Linked DNA regions of Coturnix japonica. The protein of the gene in region 2 interacts with the protein of the main gene of each other region in a pairwise test. Links are inferred from orthologs where the notes say so. Each region holds a gene or a part of one and is shown on either strand. Other genes may lie near its edges. The genes, in order: RAP1A, RALGDS, RAP1B and RRAS2.

Region 1 (4,916 bases), on a different chromosome or scaffold from region 2:
GGAAATCCAAAAGACAAAGAAACAGGTTGGAACAGATTTCAATGCCTGGATATTTCACATTTTCTGCCTTGTATGTGCATGAAAGCACAAGTACCAAGTTCTATTGCTCCAAACAGAATGAACCCACGCTGCCTTCATTGGGTTCTGGTGTAATGAAGCGCACCTGAGCTACTCCTGCATATCCTTTGCTAAGATGCAAGATCCAGGTAGCAGGAGCAGTTCACACCCAGATGCTAAAAGTACAGATGACACATAAAGGAAAGGTTCCTGTAGGAGAAACCAACCAATAAGAAGCATTTTCTATTCTGATGCAGAACAGCTTTTCCATCTTTAAGCCTTTACAAGCAAGAGCCAAGGCTGTACAAAGGAAACCACCACGTGCTGGAGCAACATGTGGCAAAGGACACAACATCTCTCTGCTGGCAGATGAGGTCCCTGCAGCCCCATCCCTGCAGCACTGGGCATGGCACACTGGCTGCCAGAAGGATGCTGGGTCTGGGCCAAAACCCACTGCTTCTCCTTATCTCAGGCTCCTAAATGGTCCCAGTTATCTCCTGGCACCAAAGCTGCTCTGCTCAATGGGGTCACCTTAGCATTTGTGAATGGAAAGCTGGCCCCCGGCCCTGTCAGATAGCTCACAAGGGAGAATAAAACCTCAGTGCTGGATGGCAAGAGCCACGCGACGCTGGGCACACCAACGTGCAGAGGTGGTTCTCATTTAAACAAGGAAAACTGTGCAGATAGATCCATGTTTGGAAATGGGCTCAGTAAATCAGTGGCTTACCAGAGGAGGAACTGTGATGGGATGTCTGCTTGAGCAGCCAGATGTAGCAGGAATGTGAAAAGCAAATACTTTCAAAACCAACAGCCAATACTATGCAACACGACAAGTGATACAGTGGGGCATATCCACATTCAGAATAGCAGCAGTTGTTATCTTTAAAACGTGTAGAAGTTTATCTAAGAGTCATCCAGGTCACTCGGGACCCTCTGCTATCCATGCTCCCTGGAGGTGTTTAAAAACCATCTGGATGTGGTGCTCAGGGCCGTGATTTAGCAGAGGGCTGTTAGAATAGTATGGTCAGGTTGTGGTTGGACTCAATGATCTTTAAGGTCTTTTCCAACCTGAGCAATTCTATGATTCTACTCTACAAGGCATTCATGTAGAAGTGAGAAAGACAAGGTGCAGCTCATACTTACCTCATTAACATTGATTTTAGACTTTGCAGACGATTCTAGAAAGGCACAGTTACACCACTGTCTTGCTAAGTTTTGACCCTGTTCTTTGCCGACTACACGTTCTTCCTCCAGGTCACATTTATTGCCAACCAGAATCATTGGAACCTGGAGAAGGGATGAGCAAGAGGACGAGATGTGTCAGCAACATAATATACAACACCTACTGCCCAAGCAGTGCTGTCAATGAAATGCAGCTATGTGGTCCCAGAGCCCCAGCACACGGCCATCTGCCCATCACATCACAGTGCATATTGCATCACTGATGTATTTTATGCACAGATAAAAGGGCATTCACTACAAATAGCACTGAAACCATCATTAATAATGACTCGCTGATAATAACTGAAGTTTCTAATTAACGAGCCCTTGGCAGCTCAGCTCCCAAAAGGAGCTTCCAATAAATGCCACATTAAAATACACATTTGGTGCATTTTCAGTGTATTCAGCCTATATCCACAATGCAGACACAAGAAGTCATTTGCTCCACAGCACAGTGATGGCCGTCAGCCCCTCTCCTTCAGCAGCTGTTTCCCTTTGCTATACACACGTAGAAAAAACCCCAAACCCAAAGAGCTGCTGCTGGTGGGTGTGTGCCTCGCTCCATTTCCTGAAGCATTTCATTCTTTGAGCAGAAAATGAGTACTCTCCAGCTGGGAAATAAATCACCATCCACTTCCTTTGATAATTTCCAACACACTATACGCTTTCTAATCCACTTGAAAGTATTTGCAGTCTCTCCCTCTCATTCAGCTGCACTCAAGATTAATTTTTGTCTTTAAAACAGCCGTATTGAGCAGAAAACGACGGCACTTTTATGCTTAAGAAGTAAATTTTACTTCTTACATCAGAAAGCTGAAGGCACAAAACCCCCCTCAAAAGATCATTTCACATTAAGGCCAGGCTGGATGGGGGCAGCGAGAAACCTGGGCTAATGGAAGTGTCTCTGCCTGTAACAGGGGGTTGGGAACAGATGACCTTGCAGGTCCCTTCCAACCCAAACCCTTCTATGATTCACAACCATCTCAGCCCAATGCTCTCTCTTACACTCTCTCCTTCTGAACATGTTCAGCAAATAAAAGAAGGAAATGAAAATGAGAAATGATAGGGGGGAAAAAAAAGTGCTACTTAGTTGATTAATGGGACAGGTTTGAAAGATTCCAAACTTTTTATAAGGTTATTTCAGGATACAGTAATCAATGTGGAGCAGAAAAGGGAAGTAGAACAACTTGCTCTATCACTTCCTGTGTCATGTGAAGACTGGATTTAAACACAGACTAAGGTTAATGGTTTAAGTGCTGGGATGTTAAAAGCTGTGCCCTGAAACTTAAAAATGGAAGCCCAAAACTGAGCATGAAAGTTGAAGAGGTTCTGAGCCTTGGGTTGAACAAATAGGCTGGATGTGGCTCTGGGCAGCCTGGTTTGGTGGTTGGCAACCCTGCACACAGCAGGGGCATGAAACCAGATGATTATTGTGGTCCTTTTCAACCCAGGCCATTCTATGATTCTATGTGCCACCCCCTGGCACAACACCATAAATCCATTTTAGTGACTGAATCATTATTGGCAAATGTAACAGTGATTTCTCTTTAGTCTGAAGGAAATGAAGTCCTGCTAATGCACAGTGAAAGAGGAAAACACCAACACTAAAAAAGACTCCCACCATTTTGCTATCACTCCCCATCCAGACTGTCAGCTTTCCAGCAAACTCGAGATGTTGTTTTTAATGTCACAAACACTGCAGAGGGAACTCCAGCACAAAACTTGGCTGTGCAGCAATGAGTATTCCTAGAAAGACATTCTGCTCACGTACAAATTTCCACGTGCTTCATTCGGAAGATATGCTATTCATTTACAAAACCAGACAATGTTGTACTTACATCTTCAGTGTCCTTCACCCGTAAGATCTGTTCCCGTAGGTCCTGTAGGTCGTTAAACGTGGACTGTGCTGTTATTGAATATACTAGTGCAAACCCTTGGCCGTTCTTCATATAGAGATCCCTCATTGCTGTGAATTGCTCCTGGAGTCAAGGAAAAAGGAATGGCATTAATGCAGCTGATGGATGTTTGTGATGGAATAGCTTTGCTGTATGGAGATAAGGAGGTGCCAATTAGAAAAAGGGGTTACACTTACTGTCCCTGCTGTATCCAGGATTTCAAGCATACACTGTTGACAGTCTACCTCCACTTGCTGGGGAAAAAGAGAAAGAAACAGTTAAAAGTAAAGCCTCCAAAATGAGGCAGAAGAGAGGAATCTCAGCTTCATTTTTCACTTCTGCAACAGAGAGTTCTGCAGTACAGCACCTTCCCAGCACCATGAGAGGCTCTGCTATCAGAGCTCAGTGACACCCCCAGCTGGCACATGGGGCAGCTCCCTTGTACCTCTGCTCACGCTCAGGCCTATCAAACCTTTCACCATCTAAGAAATGCCTCTGACTCCCCGTGGGTAATTCTACGAAAGCTGAATAAATCTTAACAGCAGAGCTCAGAATTTATGCTTAATTATTGCAGGCATGAAGGCTGCAAGTTTTGTTTTCTGTTTTGGTGTCTTTAATTATGGCAACAATTATGCTAATCTGCTAAACAATGGGTTCCTTGACATCAATCCCAGAGAAGAAAGCAGCACTGTTAATAGAGCTGCATAACACCAGGGTCAGGGATCCTGACAAGGACTTCTGCTCAGCCCTGCGTGCAAAGCAGCTGCAGAGACTTTGTATGTGCCTTCAAACTAAGCAGAATAACACCAAGAGAAAGCAACAAAGACATCAGAGATCTAAAAGTTGTGCGAGCAACAGAGGTTAAGTTCTCCTATTAAATAGAGGTAAAAACAGCCAATTTAACAGCACCATTGGCCCTTTTCTTATTATTCAGCTATACAGCAGCTCATGCCATTGGGTTGGCCAGAAGCCTCAAGTTTGTGAAGTATTCTGCAAAGCCAAAGGAAACTATCTGTAGTTTTATGGCTCCATGATGCTCTCAGATACACACCTGGCTCGGTCTGATAGGCTTTAATAGCATTATTAAAAAGCAGTGAGCAGTGTGAGATGTGAAAGGAACAGAAACGCCACTACTTTACCTTTCTGTATGAATCTTCTATTGTTGGGTCATATTTTTCAACAAAAATTCCCTGAACAAACTGTACAGTCTGGGGAGAAAAGAGATGGAACAAAAATCAGGTAAGCAAACGGATTGTGATGGTAACACTTAACCAATAAGCACTTCACCAAACAAGGAGCAGCATCAAATCGCTGCTGAGAAAGTTCAGGTGGGGAGAAATGACATCAATTAGTGGTAATGTCAATTAAATGTTGTGCAGTCTGTCATTTCTTGAGCCACTTTGGGACTGCTGGCCTGTTGTAACACATGAGACCCATCCCTGAACACTCAGGCTCTGTATATGCATCACACTGACTCCCATTGCTCCCCAGTTTTCCTGGTCCCCTGGAAGGCACAGGAATTTCTGTAGTCACTTCAGTTTGCTTAAGGTGCTGTGGAAGAACAGAGTGTATCAAAAGCTTTTAGTCCTCCATCTGGCAAGGATTATGATGGGATCTCTGGAAGAGCACATCAAATTTGAGTCATAATTGAGTAACATTTCCCTCCATCCTTCTGGATTCCGCAGGTCATCTGACAGCCCATTCCAGCAAGAGAATGGAAAGGAGCAGGGCTCTCTGCTGAGA
Region 2 (5,045 bases):
AAACGGGAGCTTGTGCAGAGAGAGGTGGAAGGGCCGCCAGGTGCCAAAGCGGCTCTCGGTGCGGTTGAGCATCACTCCTGGCCTTGGCAACAGCACCAGGCCTGGCTACAGCCTGCCCACAAGGCCCCGTCGGTGAGGGGTGGCAGTGGGGCTGAGGCTAGAAGATGCCTTTGGCAATCTTCAGGCCTTTCTGCTTCATCCTGGGCAGGGTGGAGCTGGAGCCGTGCTTGATCTTCACCCCCTTGGAGAAACCCCGCTTCTTGAGCACGAAGTCGTAGTTGGCAGCAGAGTTCATGGCGTAGAAGACGTTGGCATTGTCGGGGATCTTCAGCTCTGGGAGGGACCAAAGATGGGGAGTCAGCTGCACAGTTTGCTCCCACCCAGAGCCCAAGCCAGGAAGAGAATCCCACCCCCCATACACACCTCTCTCCTCTGAGATGATCTGAACGAGCTCGTAGTCTTCAGGCCGGTCCCCATCCAAGTTGTGTTTGGCCATGGCCTTGCGAATAACGACCGGTGTCTTATCCTGGCTGGTCACCTATGAGCACACAGCACTGTTAACCACCATACTGCACAAAACAGCGTAACATCTCCCACCTCCATGTCCTCTCAGTGTCAGACATGCCCGCATCCAAGCATGACAAGCCTCCCAACCCTGAAATTGATGTGGGTGCTGGGTGCTAACCAAGATGCTCTTGTACATGTTGCCGTTGTCCACAGCCAGGCTGACACGGATGATACAGCAGTCGTCCACCTGCTGGTTGTAAAGGGGCAGCGAGAGAGACGAGTAGCTGGAGATGCCGGAGACGGAGCGTTTGTGAGTGCGGGATGCTGTCACTGGTGTAGAGGAGACGGAGGATGATGAGGCACTGCTGGAGCCTGAGCCGATGCCTGACGTGTCCAGGGAGGAGAGAGAGGTGGATTCCCAGAACTGGAGGGCAGGGAGGAGAGGGGATGCGGAGGACACAGTGGGTTTAGCTTCTCCATCAGCCACAGACGGGGTGTACGAGTGCTGGGGGAGGGAGGCCAGAGGGATCTCATTGCCCTGCGCCAGCAGGGGACGTACAGCCACCAGAGCTGCCAGACCCTGCTGTGCCAAGGCAAGCCCAGCTCCACCACAAAGAGCAGGGGCCTCCCTCGCTCCAGCAGGGCAGAAGCAGCCCCCAGCTCCCCAGCCCCCATGCAAAGCAGGGGCCATTCCCTCTTGAGGGGAGCACCTGCTTCAGGAGCCCCACAAGCTGCCCCATACCTTCTTCTCCTGGCAGTCGGGGGACTCAGGGATGAAGCTGATGTTGATCTCCTCCACATCAGAGCTGCTGGAACCAGCAGAGGTGACACTGACTGAGTCAGTGGCATCCCCACTGCACAGGTACTGCCCGCACTTGAGCTGGTCAAAGGACTTGGAGTGGGAACTGCCACTGGCACAGGGCTCAGTGCTGGCTGGCTGCCGGCTGCAGGGAGATAGGAGAGGGTAAGAAGAGAGCAGGCCCAGGGAAGGACATGATGGCACTGACCCTTGTCTCCAACTGGGTCCCACTGGGGCAAACAGACTCACTCGCTCCATCTCTTGATGATTCCTGTGTTCTTCTTTGCCTTCAGTGTGTTGCTGGCTGACTCGGACAGTGGCTCAATCTCACATGACAGCCCATAGCTGGGGGAGAGATAAAGGTTTCAGAGCTCCCTGTAGCTTTCCAATGCACCAGCAGCAGCACAGCCCTGCTTGCACTCACCTCTCGGCCTCACTGAGCCGCTCCAGGCTATGGAACCAGTCCACAAAATGGTCCTCCTGAGTGAAGCTGTAGTTGTTGCAGGCTGACTGAAGCAGCTTGATCTGGGCAATGACTTCAAACTCCTGCATCCAACAGAGATGGTCATGACCCCTTTCTGTCCACAGCCCCACAACCCTCTGCAAACAGCCCAACCCAATGCACCAAGGTGCCTAGGAAGGACCAGAATCTCCTCCCAAAGAGATTGGCAGAGCCTGGGCTCGCACAACGCCAGCCACCTCCCACCACCCAGCCGTGCAAACTCTCACCTTCCTTCTCTTCTCAAAGTTGATCAGCCCTCCCTGCAAAAGAAGGAGAAGAAAAGAAGGGTGTCAGCGGGAAGCAGGGACAGGGAGGGACAAAGCTCCGCTCCGGCTGCAGTGCACGCCATGCCCACCAGGGGGCGCTGTAAGAGCGGCCCATTGACAGAGCCTGCCGGGGTGTGTATGGGATGCATAGGGTGGCAGTGTTGGCTATGGGATGCACAGGGACAACGTTGGCTATGGGATGCACAGGGACAACGTTGGCTATGGGATGCATAGGGACAACATTGGCTATGGGATGCATAGGGACAACACTGGCTATGGGATGCATAGGGACAACGTTGGCTATGGGATGCATAGGGTGGCAGTGTTGGCTATGGGATGCCCAAAGGGACAGCAACAAGTGCTCTGGGGATCAACCCTCCACACTGAACTGCCAGGCTATGGGGATGTCTAAGCACGAAGGAAAGGAGGAGGATGGAGATGGAGGTACGTACATCCAGGAAATCCTTCATGGCGGTGTCGAGCATCACCAGGTCCGTGAGGAAGGTGCCGAGATAGGGAATAGTGCCCTGCATCACACCCTGGGGGACAGGGAGGGACGGCTGAGGTCAGCAGAAAGCTGGAAGCCACCCAGCAGGGATATGGGGATGTGAAAACACCCACTCACCATCTCTCGCTGCTGCTGCTGCCGCTTCTGGGCCCTCTTTGGGTTAATCTCCAAGGTGGCAAATTTGGACGTGCCCTCCTGGATGGTGGGGAGAGACAACATCAGCACCAGTGGAAAACGTGAGCTAAAATTCACAGCCACTTTTATTGCTGCCATTTCCTCGCAGAGGGAATGAGGGGAAGAGAAGGAAATCTAAGCTGAGCTTTTTCAGGGCTAAACAGGGAGGAGAGGCTTAATGAATAGGAAGTGCTGCTCCCATTTCCAGCTCTCTGTATAAATAGCTCTTCAATGGGCTGTTTTGTTCCCTTTTGTATTTCATGTGATCTCAGCCCCCAGTCTGGAGCTGGAAAGCTGTGAGGACACCTGGCTTCAGCCTTTCCCAAACCCCACTGCCCCATGTTAACCCAGGAGGCCTATGGAGAGCTGAACTTTGCATCTGGTTAAAGGCCATCCTCAGGTGCACCAGACCATATCCCACTGCTTATCTCTACCCATTCAACTGCTTTAAGACCTTCATGCAATGACAGCTTTTGGGGTAGAAAAGCAGAATGCCCAGTTTGCCTGGCAGATGGAACAACAGGGACCTTTTCAGCCAACACCAGCCCAAGCTCCTTGTCAGGACTTGCAGGTGCCCCATACCTTAATGAGCAGCTCCCGGCTCAAGGAGTGGTTGTTCTCATCGGAGAAGATCTCTGAGAGCTCATGGAAAGTGCGGAAGCTCTCCCTGCTCGGGGGGAAAGACAAGGAAGTCAGCAATGGTGCCACACTGGGTCTCTTCCTTGCGCACCCAAATGACCCCAGCAAAGCTCACAGCTGCAGCAGGCCTTGCTGACTGGGGTTATTCCAGGGTGTTCAGATGGAAAGGAGAAGCAGACAGTACTGCCTTTGTTTCCTCACTCTCCTCAGATCCCTTGGCTTTGGGCAATGCCAGAGCCGCAATGATCCCATTTACACATCTCTTGTCTATACACTGAAGGGCCACAGCTCCAGCACAGCCACCCCCTGAGACCACCCAGCACCCCCAGGACCCCCAGGTGCTGCTCACCGCAGGACCTCATCCCAGGTCTTCTTCAGCCGGTGCACAGCGTTGCACTGCAGAGCTGAAAGGATGGCTCTGAGCGAGGAGAAGTTCTTCAGGATGCGGCACTCCTGAAAGCAGATAAAGGGGACAGCAGGGCTTGATGTTAAACAAAGCCAAGGGATCTGCTTTGATTTGTACACCACAAACCCCCAGCCCTGGGCAAAGTGAATGGGGCTGCACTTGTCCTACCCGAGCCACTTCGATCCATCTCTCCACCACTTTAGCCCTCTGCTGTGGCTTCAGGGTCCGGTCCCCGAGGCACGTGGCAATGACACAGTTGGCCACGCTATTGAACTGCGAGACAGTGGCACGGATGGTGGGTGCCAGGTGTTCTTTGCCTTTCTTGTCTCGCTGGGACCAGATGCAGCCCAAGCAGTGGTAAGGCACCACTTTCTTAAACAGCTCCTGGAAGATAAAGGGATGGGATGGGTCTCTTAGGGGAAAAGATGGAGTGGTGTGTGAGGGAACACAGTGGTTTGTGCCCAGAGCAGCAGCACTGACCCTGTGCTGAATGAGTACTCACAGCATCCATGAGTGTGAACTGCTCTGCCACCATCTCAGGGGAGAAGGAGAGGAAATCTGACTTCCCATCCCCGACCCCGTTCTCCTCCACCAGCTGGAACGTGCAGCCACCGTGATCCACAGCTGTGAAGATGGCACAAAGCTGAGCCCTGCAGCACAGAACCCCACTGCATCCCACACCACATCCCACCTCCAGCAGCTCTGCTTTCACACCTCAGCATAAGGCTCAGATAAACACACAGGCGTATTTAACCCGGATGCAAGTGTCTGCAGAGGATTAAAGGCAGATTAACCAATCCACTTAGAAATCCCACTTCTATCTCAGCTGGATTAGCTTCCCTGTGTACCTCCACATCCAGCCACGTGGTAACACCTGAAGCTCCTTACAGACCCTGATATCCCCATGAGCAGGGAACCATCCCCACCTTCTGCTTCAGTCTCGCTCTGCTCCTGCTGCTGAAACTGGGCCAGGAGGATGCGGGCTCTGCGCTCCAGGTCTGAACCAGGGATGTTATGGCGCACGTAGGAGATGAGCTGCTTGAGGCAGGCAAAGTCTGGGGGTTTACGGAAGTCCTCTGAGTACTGGTCCAACCAGGCGCCCAGGATGGAGGAGATGGTGCTATGGGGAAAGGAACAGAGGGGAGAGCTGGGTGAGGTCATGAGAAACATATAGGACAGCACATGCCTCCATGCGAGAACTGAACAGCAGTCACCCCCAGTATGGTCAGACTTACTTCTTCAGC
Region 3 (5,795 bases), on a different chromosome or scaffold from region 2:
GCCTTCCTCGCTTGGCCAAGAATGAACTAACCATGTGTACTGTAATTGGCAGTCTCTTTTCATAGCTGCATAGCAGGGACTTACTTCAAATGACATAAACTCCTTAGATTAATAACTAGAAAGCTGAATGGAACAATACAGTAGATACTGCCAAGCTCTGCTTCTTCTTCCTGGTTCAACTCTAAGAAAGTTCCTTTAGCTCCCCTATGTACTTTTCCATAGGCTCTACAGTACCTTCACCCTGCTGCTTCAGCAATAAAGACTACTGCTAAAAACACTGCCTATGGAAAGAGAGCGTTCTGAATAGCTAGAGGGCCCCCAAATCACTTTGTATTTCACAAGTTGCCTGAGAGGCAGGTTGCCAACCTGGTGTGTACAGCCTTCTTCCCCTTCTTTGCCGCCAGAAGACTGTGCAGAACGTCAAAAGTTTACAATCGCATTCAAAACGAGGTGCACACAGTTAAAAAAGAAAAAAAAAAGAGAGAAAAAGGCCTTTGAGTTGCCCAGTGTTCTTTGGGTATTCTAAAGCAAGGGAGATGCGGGCCCTAGGCCAGTGCTCGCTGCCACTACTGAAGGCAGCCCCATTCAGCTGCTCTGTCAAGAAATGACTTGTGCCACCCAGTCTCTGACTTTCTCCAAACTCTGCCTGCCTACAGCAAGCAAAGTATCACAGACTTTTAAGAACATAACTTTTACTGTGCCTATCCCGCTCAGTTTTCTTATGTTTGACAGGCCCTGAGACAAAACTGATACATCAGACACATCCAGTGAGATGCTCAAGCTCTCCCACACCCAATCACTGAATAATTATGAGAGCCGTCAACTACTAAGCAGGTCCCCTATTCAAAAAGAAGGCCTTCCCCTTTTCCTGCTTTTTATGATGGAAACAGACCACCTCAACCATGTATGAGCAGGAAAACAATGTCTGCCTTCAAACGGTATCATGTAGTTTCTGTAGATACTCTCCATCTCTTCAAAGGAGGAGGCTGACTAAAAAATCCCTCCACCTGACCTAGATGCAACAAAGCACGGCAGAAACCTGCCCCAACTCAGCAGGGACTCAACACACCGATAATATACGGACTACTTCAGTCTGCTTTGGCGCTTGTTCTGAGGCAGAAGAGTGGCACCGCTTCCAACCACAAGCTAAATATAAACTTTTGTTGCACGGGGAATACTTAGTGTTCTGTTTACTGAAGAAGTAATTTTGATTAAAACTCATAAAAAGCTTGAGAGAAATTGCAGAACGTGCTCTGAAGAATTAGAGCACTCTTAGAAGCCAGCGAGGTATCTGAAGGTCACCTCAGCATCACTGGGCAATTCTCAGAGCACCCACTCTTACCACACACCCCAGAAGTGCTTTGAGCTAAATAACATCCTTGCTCCCACGAGCAGCTCTCTGAACAGCCAGCAGCGCTCTATGACAACAGGGTTCACACCACAGCAGTGAAGTGCTGAGCACCCGAGTACTTCTGTGACTCCTGCACTTCTCATGTTGCAGATGATAGGTGGACAGCCTTTTATTTTAGCTCCCACGCTTACTGAGTGCTAGATCACAAGCTAAGTCGTCTTCAGCACACTTCCTTCCTCAGGAATTTCTTCCTCCTTTTGGAGGCTCTCACCTAGATTCCCATCTGCTTCTGTTCCAGAAAGGCGCTCAATTAAAAAGTCAGTCGGTTGCGCTCTGCAAAACTAGCACAGCACAAAGAAAGCTGTCATGGCTCGTCTGACATTTATTTTTGATGAACTGCCCTGCACAACAACTTGAGAACAAAAATCACAGAGTTTTAATACTGCTCAGAAAATTAACCCGAGGAAGGTATATAGTAACAGAAGCAAGACGCCCAATTACAAGCAGCACAAAAGACCGTTTGTCTTTTTCATACACAAGTTCTGTTTTTAAGCTTACAGTCTTTCAACTCTGTTTTGCACATTACAGCACCCCCAGGCAGGCAGGTGCTTCGAGCACCATCAGCTTTGCTAAAAAGAAAAGCAAAAAAAGGAAACCCACAAAAAATCAAATACATGACGTGACCTTTATAGCACACGGAGCAACTCAGAGAACTGCAAAGCCTTATACTATAGTTGCAAGCTCAACTTTAAGCAGTTCATTCCAGTATGTGGAACATCTCTGAAATGCACAGGTAACAGGGAAAGAACACTGCGTGTTATTATTTAGGAAGTTTATTTGCAAAGCCTTTGATGTGAGCAACTGAGGCATCCTTCACTACACACTCAGCCCATTTTTAGGCCGAGCGAAGTCTGCAGCACAGACTTGGGAGTGAGATGGGAGTAATGAATAAAGCAAAACCTCTTGAGTGTTCTAGAAATTAACTTCTGTTTTCCAAAAGCTTGAGATTTCAGTACAGATAAAAGGCCAAAAAGCAGACCGCTGGACTGCTTTCTCAAGTCTTCTGCAAAGCACTTTCAAAACGGAAATAAATTTATCTCTGAACGATTACTAACATAAAATGAGATGATTGCTGCTTTGCCTTTTAATTCTAATTTATTAGGGGGGGGGGGGGGAAGTGCATTTCATTCCTTCTTTTCTGTAACAGTGATTTCAGTGCACATTTTGCCACAAAAGAGTGCTGAAGAGTCATTGCCATTCTCCGTCTACGTACTTCGTATTAGGATAAAATATAGCTGCTATGTGCTGGAAATAACAAGTCCCACTAATGAAAACATCTAAATGCAGGAACACATGCAGAAACCGCAATTTTCAAGCTGAGCATCTCTGAAATATCCTTTTTATTGGAGCTGCAGCACCCTGTCACACCCCAAGGATGACTTGTACTGCTTGGAGGGGGAACAAGCTCCAGACAGAAGGGCAGATAGAGCACACTGATGGCTTCTGCAGGAGCCTGGCTGCGCTATACCCTCTTTTTGTTATCCGAGGACAGCGCAAAACACTCTGATTTCATTTCATCCCTCTGAAAACTTTACTTTCGCTTCTATTGGACATATATCTCGATGGGAGGATACATATATATATATTTTGGGGGGTTGGGGGGGATGTGGAGGTGGGGGTGTGCGTTCCGCTGCCTCGGTGCAGGCAGCATCCCTCGAGCTCTTCCATTTGCTTCGCCGCCGGAGTTCAGACGTGCCGATGAACACCGCTGTCCCTTCCGGCCTGGGGCTTCTCGGCTCCCCTCCACCCTTGGTGCTTTCTGTTGTTCACTGGGGCAGTTCCCGCTGACCGCTCCTCGCGGGGCCGCCCGCTGTGGCCGCACCCCCCGAGGCCGGGCGGGCCCCCCCCGGGCCCAGCGGCCGGAAGCGGCGGCGGGCGGCCGGACTAGGTGGGGCCCGGCTCGGACTTCCCGCTGACAACGGCGGCGGCTGCGGGGACCTGGTCCCCGGCCGGGCGGCACCCGCCCCTCCCTCGTCTCTCTTCCTCCCTCCCCGGCGGCCCCGAGCCGCGGGGTTACAACTTTCCGCTTCCGCTCCAACTTCTGCGGCGGGCAGCGGGCGGTATGGCCGGGCCCCGCACTGCCCCGCGCCTCAGGCCGGGCGGCGGCGACTCCTCCTCCGCCATGTTCCAGGCTCCTGCCCCTTCCCTCTCGTCGCGCCGCTCCCCGTCTCACACCCTCCCCCTCCTCCTCTCCCACCTCACCCCACCGCCACCCCCCACGGGCCCGGCCGGCGCCCTCGTTCCTACCGGACAGCGCCTCCGCTCCCCGCCGCCGCCGCCTCGCCGGCCGAGCCCGCTGCGCTCCGCCCGCTGCCGCTCGCTGCTGTGCTGGGGCGCGGCTTGGGGCCGTCGCCGTGACGCCGCACGCCCAGCCTCGCTCTGGCGCGGCGGGGGCGGGGGCGGTGCGGAGGGGTGGGCTGACCCCAGCGCCGCGCCCCCAGCGCGCAGGCGCGGGGCCCTCCCCAGCCCCTTCCCTCCTGCCCCCGCCCGCTTGGCCCCCCTTGCCCTGAGGGGCGGCCCGGCACCGGGCGACGGGGTGTGTTCGGCCTCGGGCGGCAATGGGCTGACTGCGAGCCGCTGTGGGGCTGTCTCCCCGCGGCATGAAGGGAACGAGGGGGCGGGGGAGGCCGGCCTGGGTGTGGCGGGTTGGGAGCTCGCATCCCCTGAGAGAGAGGGGATGTTGGTACCCGGGGATGCAGCGCCTGAACGGAATGAGCCTGGGCCTCCCAGCCGTGTCAGGGGAGGTTCCGAAGCTTCGCACTCGTGGCGAAGGGTTCTGAGATCCGTGGACTTTGGAAATGTGGCACTCTGCTATAGGCTGTTACTCCATGGGCTGCTACACCTCTGGGTGCCCTCATCAGCCCCACACGTACAATATGTTACATCCTGCACATACACTCTCCATCCTTTCTTTTCTTTCACCATTAAATAACATAAGGCACTTTTAACTCTCCCTGAGCACCACTTTAATTTTTCCAGTCATAGTATCACAGTCTCATAGTCTCATAGTCTCGTGTGGGTTGGAAGGGACCTTAGAGATCAGGAAAAGAGTCCAGAAAAGTTTTCCAGTCGGAAAGAGTTTAACCGCCAGATGTTAGAAATAGCCGTTTCAGTGTGTGTGGGAAGTGAACAGTTAACGCAGTGAGCACAGATAAAACTTTTGCCAGAGGAAGCGGCGTGGTGTGCAGGGCTGACAGGAAGCTGCAGCAAGGGGAGTGGGTGTGGAGGAAGCAGGGCCGCTCCGTTTGTGGCACAGAGATAGAAAAGGGGAAAAAGCGATGACATTTCCCCCCCGTTACACGATGGAGAGGGCCTGGCTAAAATGGGAGACACACAGCGTGGGGTGGGTGTGTGGGAGAAGCTGGAGGTCGGAGCCAATGGAGCCAGAGCAGCCACTGGGATGTGCTGCCTTGGTAGGAGCAGCTTTGTCGAGGCTCACAGCACCAAGAAAGTGACACGTTTCTTTTAATTCCTAGATGTCATAAATTCTCTTCCGAAGTCCAGACAAATCTCTTGGTGTTGTGCAGCTTAAGCCCGCATGCAGTACTTTGATAATGAATCCCCGTAAATGATGGATAATACACGAGAGCTGATGCTGCGAGAAGCCGAGTGTGCAGAAATGCAGTTGGTTTTCAGCAGGGCATCCGTTGTGGGGCAGAGATGTTGAAATAGATGGTGTCTGTCTAAACTGTGAACCAGAAGAACATCTCTTGGGTTGGCTGGGAAGTTTATGTACTCACCAAACAGAAGCAACATCGGTTTCTTCAGACTTCTTTGTCACTAGATGTTATTATCAGCTCCCAGCAATAATCATTGACACCAATAAAAAGAACAAACAGGAAGATGTATCCTCTGCTCTCCCAACTTTTGTTGGTGACCTAGATTAATCCCAAATAACAAGCAGTGTTCAGAGAGCAGATGAGTGCCATTGCCAAAGTAATACTTTGCAGTGTGCCTTTAATTGCCCTGTGCCTTACAGGCAGTGTGGTAAGTATTGTTCTTCGCTGTGCAACAAGAAAACAGGAAGGGGCCTCTGGGAGTTGGATGAGTCTCCTGCAAGCAGGTCTTGGTGTCTGGGTTTCACAGGGGAATCTGAAACTCATTATGTTAGAATAAGTGTATATATACATATATACACATATGGATTACTTAGAGCAGGCATACTTGAAAATTGAACACTGTAACTAGAAGAAATACGCAGTTAAGATCCACTCTGAGTGAGAGAGGCCGAGAATTCCTTTTTCCTAACTGTCTGGACTGCGTATTTTGCATGTAAATCAGGCTCTTAAGTTTGGATTTTCCTATGAATTGTTTGGTTAATCCTCAGCACAACCCTTAAACTGGCTTTACTCATATCAGTGTGGCTGTGAATAGAAACTGGGTA
Region 4 (5,684 bases), on a different chromosome or scaffold from region 2:
CTGCTGAAACAAGCAGTGCAGCGATCCAGCTAACCAAAAAAAGCATGAAGTAAATGGCAACTGCAGGCTAAGAAGTATGCAGAGGGTGATTAAGTACTTGCGAGCTGCACTCCCTTTAAGCAAGGAAACCTGAATATTACAAAGGGCTGAGTTGGAAGGGAATGTGGGGTATTTTGTGACAGACCTCTGCATGACAGCTGGAGAGAAGCTATTGCAGCAACAGCTGTGTGCCCTGCACGGCTCACGCTCCCAAATGCCTCAGCTGCCTGCAAGAAAGGCTTCTGCCTCTTTGGGGATCTCAGTGTGATGGATTATTTGTTTATTTTTTAACTAAGAGTAGGAATGTTTAGCTCCGGCACTTAGATTTAAAAGACTGTGGCATGAAGTTGAACTACCATTAACCAGGGCTTTCCTAAGGTTTATGACTGTGGCAGGGGCCATCTACTCCACAATTACAACTTCTCCACTTCCTGTCCTAACAGCACGCAGACTGGACAGCAGAAAGTTCATATATCACATCCTGATTTAGAGGAAATGATTGTGAATTTCCAGGATGAAATCCCATCCCACCAGCACTAATACCCAGCTCTGTTTATCTCCCTAGAGGAAGGGCTGAGAGGCGCACACCAGTCATCACACACCGACAGCCCTCATCTGCAAATGTGCACCCCACAGCTTCTCCAAGAGTAAGAGGAACTTCTGAACAGCTCACATGCAGTGGAAGAGCTTTGGCTGCAGGACCAAAACAGTGCTGTTTCAGCCCAAATTTGAGCACAACAACCACCAGGAACCGATGCTCTCATGCAGGATGCTGCACCCAGGACAGGAGGCTCCAGTGCCCCTACAAGGCCCAACCTCACACCATGCCACCACCACAAGCACTAAGCAATGCAGGAGGGATGCACTAGGCAGGCAAATCCCAGGGCTGGTGACAGAGAGCCACCCAGCTGGTTCTGCCTGCAGCCTCGGTTCCTCTTCACTTATTTCACCATTCACCAAAGGAAACCATTTCCTATTTTCAGATACAGATCTCCCCTTAATCCTCCAAAGGAGGCAACATACACCAGGACACGTGCTTTCCCACCACAGCTGAGCACAACAGCCCTGTTTACCTGGAAGCAACCAGCCCTGAAGCACAACTGCCCAAAGCACTTCTAGTTAAGCACAGGGAAACAAATCTAAGCGGGAACTATTCACCAACAAGAAGTGTTCCTCCTTAAGAGCTTCAGAACTGAGATGGTGACAACCACACTTTATCACGAGCAATAGCGATGCAAAACAGAGCTAAAATCCCTCAGTGACATCAAGCCCTGTCGTGCGGCCAAACCTAGCGCTGAGCCATGTTGTAGCGAGGCAATGACGAGTCTGCCACTTAATCCTGAGAAATTCCAGCAATGAGGCATGTGACTCGCTTGTAATCAATTTTAAAACAATTTGGAAAAGTTTCTACACAGTCCTGAAAGGAAAACAACATGTTTGGCAATACATTTACTGCGCAGGAAGGACAGCGATGGCTGCACGGCATCAGGCATACTTGACACCACCACAAGGTGTAAGAGCTCAGTAAAATATCCTCTCCAAGAAACAACACATCAAGCTTTATTTCCTATCATCCATAGCAATGCAGCAACTGCAGAAAACACACGACACCAGTCCCTAAGGCACCTGAGGCTCTGCACAGAGAGGGTCTTTATTCTCCAGCTATTTCTCAGGTTGTTCAGAGGCCAAGTTTTCTGCTAAAGATCACTTTGCCGTGGCAAGATTTCACATCAAGATAAAGCAACTGAGAGGGCAAAACAATGCAGATAATGTAATACAAGCTGACAATAAGCTGTTTTGGAAAATTCACTCTCAACACATCAGCTCAGCCCCACAGTGCTGTTCTGACACCACTCTTTTAAAGCTAAACGTCGCTTTCTCAGCTAATAGAGTTCCTTACATGGGACAAGGCAGACACGGGCTCCCCATTCACAGATTTCCTCTGGAAGAGGGGTGCAGATAGCAGCTCTTGAGCCAAAGCTTTTACTTCTATATGTGTGCAGCTTGAGTTCTGTTTTAATAAACTTTCAGTGCGCGTGCCTGCAAACTAATACAGCACTTCACAGAACCTTTCTCTCCTCCTATGCTAGAAATGACTATCCAAAAGCCATACTACAGCCAGGGACTCCACAAACCTATCCAGCAGCGCTTTCCAAGACAGCGGCGCCGGAGAACGGGCCTCCAGCCTCCTCCAGCCACACATGCTCCTCTCACACCAGCCCGGATACCCACAGGCACACCCAGGCAACACCATCCAAAGCGACCACACCGTGTTGCGTTAGCAGCGCTCCGAGCCAGTTGCAGTGGGTCAAGGAAGCGAGCAGCCCCCAGAGCAGCAGCAGGGATGGACCCGCTCGGCCACACGCGGTACCTACTGCTGCACAAAGCTGCGCAGACAGCAGCCGGTCCCATCTCAGCGCACCGTTCGCAACAGCTTCCCAGGAAGCCAAGCTCTTGAAGCCGCAGCTACCTGCGAGCCCCGAGCTCAGCCCGAAGGCACGGCACCGAGGTAAGCTAAAGCGGTACGATAGAGGGGCAGACCGAGGGCCCTCCCTCGCGAGGCACCTTTCCCCGTAGCCTTTCAGGAGCCGCAGAGCAGCACCGAGGCAGTCGTGCCGCCCGGCTCACCCTGCCCTGCCCCGCCGCCGCCCGCAGGGACGCGCTTCGCACCCCGGCGCCGCCCCACCCGCACGGCGCGGGCAGCGCCAGGCCGGAGGCGGCGGCCACCCCTTCCCTCCCGCGGCGCCTTCCCGGGGGGCCCCCCAAGGTCACGCCGCCGCCTCCCGCCGGCAGCACGGGGCGCCTCCGGGCCTTCCTCCCCCCCGGCTCCGCTCGCCGGGCAGCGCCCAGGCCCCGGCGCCGCGGCCGGGCGGAGCGGAACCACCCCGGCGCCGCGAGACGGGCTGCCCCAGCGCCGCGCCTCACCTGGATGAACTGGATGGTGAGCGCCGACTTGCCCACGCCGCCGCCGCCCACCACCACCAGCCGGTACTTCTCCTGCCCCGGGCCGTCCCTGCAGCCCGCGGCCATGGGGGAGCCTGGGGGAGCCGAGCGCGGCAGCGCCGCCAGGTCCGGCGCCTCCCTGCCCTCCGCCGCCGCCTTCCCTCCCCGCCGTCCGCCGCCCGCTCGGCTCCGAGCGGCCCCGGGCCCCGCCGCTCACGGAACGCGTGGCCGGCACAGCGCGAGTAACGGAGCGCCCCGCCGTGCGGCAGCGCCGAGCCGACAAGAGCAGCGCCGAGCCGAGCGAACGGAGCACCGCCCGCCCCCGCAGCCACGGCGCCGCGGCTACAAATGGCCGCCGGGGGGCGGGGCCGCCTCATCAGCCATGCTAATGAGCGCTAATACATACATGAGGGGGCGCGGCATCGGCCGCAGGAGGATCCCTCCCGGTCCCGTAAGGCCGGGCTGCCCCTCTGCGGGATCCTCGAAGCCGCGTGTCCCGGAGCTGCCCTTACCCCGAGTCACCACCCCGATGTCACGGCCGCCTCCGAGCTCTCGGCACGGCTGGACGTCTCTGCTCTCCTCCGTCCTAAGTTTGGTTTGTCTGTCTGTCTGCTTTTAATAGAAATGCAGCGAGGAGCTGTCAGCGCAGTGACCGTCCAGCCCCGCTCAGGGCATCGCCGAGTTCCGGGAGCTCAGCGGTCTCTGTGCAAACTATTGTAACAGGGTATCGGGTTCCCTCGGTGTGAAGATACAGAGAAGCGAACGCCTTATTCTAACCTTATCTTTTAAGCTTTCGGTTTCAAATACATTGTTTCAAAGAGCTGCTGGAGCCGCTGAGGCCGTCCAGTATTTGAATTCCACTTCAGAGGAAGGTTATCAGAGTGGACATCGAAGGCTTAAAACAAGTAACACCGGCATCCATTGCTTTAACAATGACTCCACTGTGAAAACCTGTTACCGTTAAATTCTTTGTGTTGGTCATTACCCAGTTTGACAGATAAAGCAGTAGATAACAGAAGAGATGGGCAGTAGCAGGTGAACAGTTTGTGTGACTGATAGCTGTATCCAAACAGCACCCAGGAGAGACCCAGCAACTCTTGCAGCAAGGCCCGGGTTTGGGAAACCATAAAAACACAACATGGCTTGGGTTGGAAAGGGCTTTAAACCCATCCAATTCCAACTCCCAGCCATAGGCAGGGCTGCTTCCCACCAGCTCAGGCTGCCCAGGGCCCCATTAAGGCTGGCACTCCTGAATGGGGCACCTACAGCTTCTCTGGGCAGCTGTGCCAGTGCTTCACCATCCCCTCTATCATAGAACGGGTCAACTCAAAGCATCAAGACGTGAGATGGTGAAAAAGTGGCCAAAGTTTTGGTGCAGCGATTGAGAAGTACAACTTTTAGAGCAGTTACATGACAAGAGGCTGAACCGTTTCAGATCCAGCCTGAATATACATGCTTGAAGACAGACAGTATCAAGAGCAGCATCCAGATGGCAAGCTTAAAAGAGAGAGCACCCCGGTGCTTTATGTAATGATGGAAAAAAAAAAGGTTTCAGGAAGTGCTTGGGGGGAAGATCCAGAACTTTGTTTTGCATTGGCAGCCTGGGAAAGATGTCAGCGCTGAGGGTTAGAAGACTTCTATGCAGTAAGTAACATATTGAAGCTAAAAGCGCTCTGTGAGAACACGATTGCTTAATTAGAAAGGAGCCTGATCGCAGGCTTATCACAGCAACAAGTTACAAAATCTCTGGGATGTGAGTCAGCATGGTAGATTTCTGCAGGAACGCTAAGTTTCCCTGTGAATGTAGCATTATACACAGTCCCAAAGGCAGCACTTCTGTATTGACCTTACACAAGTGCAACGAGCATCACTTTACAGATGCCATGACCCCCAGGAACATGCATGTTGCAGTTCCCACCAAGAACATGATCGGAGGAGATGGGCTTCTCACAGCTGTGAAACAAGAAGCTGGGGGGGGGAAATAAAACACAACAAATTGCTTTTCTTTGGGATGAGAATGGAAAACCTAATCCAGAATGAAATGTGCAATTGTTTTTTTCCAAGTATATTAAAAAAAAACATTGTTATGATTATGGTTACTTTAGAAATTCAGGTGTGCTATACCCAATAGAGAAATCATCTTCTTGCTTATCAGTCCACTCTGGCATCGCGGCACCAATGTCCAGTGTCCTGGGACAGCAGGTGAGTGCATCTCAGGGGCAACAAAACACAAACCACAAGCCACATCTGGATTTTCTTGACCAGAAAGCGAGCTATCAGTGCACACAGGCACACAGTGTCCCACCATACAACTGGAGTTTCTTCCCTGCACATGAGACAAAATTACTGTTTTTTTCATTACCATGAAAGGGCAAAACGCTGCTGGCTGAGAGGCAGGATAACAAAAAGACAGTTCTGGCATAGGAAATGCCTGGATATTCAAAACAGCATCTGAATCTCTAGCCTGGGAGCAGCCAGATTTTCATGTGCCTTTTGGTCATGCTGTCCATGGTTCTCCCACTTGCTTCAAGGACAGAATAGTTTCAGCTGGAAGGGACCCACCAACATCATCAAGTCCATGAAGATCCATGAGAATTATGGATCAATCACCTTCATCTCATTTTTCTGGAAGAAGTCCTAAAATAATGATTAGATTATTTGTAAATACCTGGAAGAGAAGAAGAAGGTAATTGACAACCAAC

The links.
Region 1: the proteins of RALGDS (region 2) and RAP1A interact in a two-hybrid assay, tested with the Homo sapiens proteins (3 studies listed by BioGRID and IntAct). The link is inferred for Coturnix japonica from reciprocal best matches to the Homo sapiens genes RALGDS and RAP1A.
Region 3: the proteins of RALGDS (region 2) and RAP1B interact in binary tests that used the Homo sapiens proteins (3 or more experiments, as listed by UniProt). The link is inferred for Coturnix japonica from reciprocal best matches to the Homo sapiens genes RALGDS and RAP1B.
Region 4: the proteins of RALGDS (region 2) and RRAS2 interact in a two-hybrid assay, tested with the Homo sapiens proteins (2 studies listed by BioGRID and IntAct). The link is inferred for Coturnix japonica from reciprocal best matches to the Homo sapiens genes RALGDS and RRAS2.

The regions. Positions count from the first base shown.
Region 1 is NC_029541.1:3,383,833-3,388,748, reverse strand, and holds part of RAP1A (ras-related protein Rap-1A), read right to left. Parts: intron 4,382-4,916; coding exon 4,313-4,381; intron 3,428-4,312; coding exon 3,371-3,427; intron 3,258-3,370; coding exon 3,117-3,257; intron 1,345-3,116; coding exon 1,201-1,344; intron 1-1,200. UniProt on the Homo sapiens protein: Counteracts the mitogenic function of Ras, at least partly because it can interact with Ras GAPs and RAF in a competitive manner. Together with ITGB1BP1, regulates KRIT1 localization to microtubules and membranes.
Region 2 is NC_029532.1:5,335,263-5,340,307, forward strand, and holds part of RALGDS (ral guanine nucleotide dissociation stimulator), read right to left. Parts: coding exon 5,037-5,045; intron 4,922-5,036; coding exon 4,728-4,921; intron 4,426-4,727; coding exon 4,304-4,425; intron 4,186-4,303; coding exon 3,970-4,185; intron 3,849-3,969; coding exon 3,745-3,848; intron 3,424-3,744; coding exon 3,339-3,423; intron 2,778-3,338; coding exon 2,700-2,777; intron 2,614-2,699; coding exon 2,527-2,613; intron 2,069-2,526; coding exon 2,036-2,068; intron 1,853-2,035; coding exon 1,731-1,852; intron 1,652-1,730; coding exon 1,556-1,651; intron 1,452-1,555; coding exon 1,250-1,451; intron 1,013-1,249; coding exon 686-1,012; intron 539-685; coding exon 424-538; intron 334-423; coding exon 158-333; 3' UTR 1-157. UniProt on the Homo sapiens protein: Functions as a guanine nucleotide exchange factor (GEF) activating either RalA or RalB GTPases and plays an important role in intracellular transport. Interacts and acts as an effector molecule for R-Ras, H-Ras, K-Ras, and Rap.
Region 3 is NC_029516.1:31,953,177-31,958,971, reverse strand, and holds the start of RAP1B (ras-related protein Rap-1b), read right to left. Parts: upstream 3,784-5,795; 5' UTR 3,659-3,783; intron 1-3,658. UniProt on the Homo sapiens protein: GTP-binding protein that possesses intrinsic GTPase activity. Contributes to the polarizing activity of KRIT1 and CDH5 in the establishment and maintenance of correct endothelial cell polarity and vascular lumen.
Region 4 is NC_029520.1:14,531,760-14,537,443, forward strand, and holds the start of RRAS2 (ras-related protein R-Ras2), read right to left. Parts: upstream 3,314-5,684; 5' UTR 3,070-3,313; coding exon 2,965-3,069; intron 1-2,964. UniProt on the Homo sapiens protein: GTP-binding protein with GTPase activity, involved in the regulation of MAPK signaling pathway and thereby controlling multiple cellular processes. Regulates craniofacial development.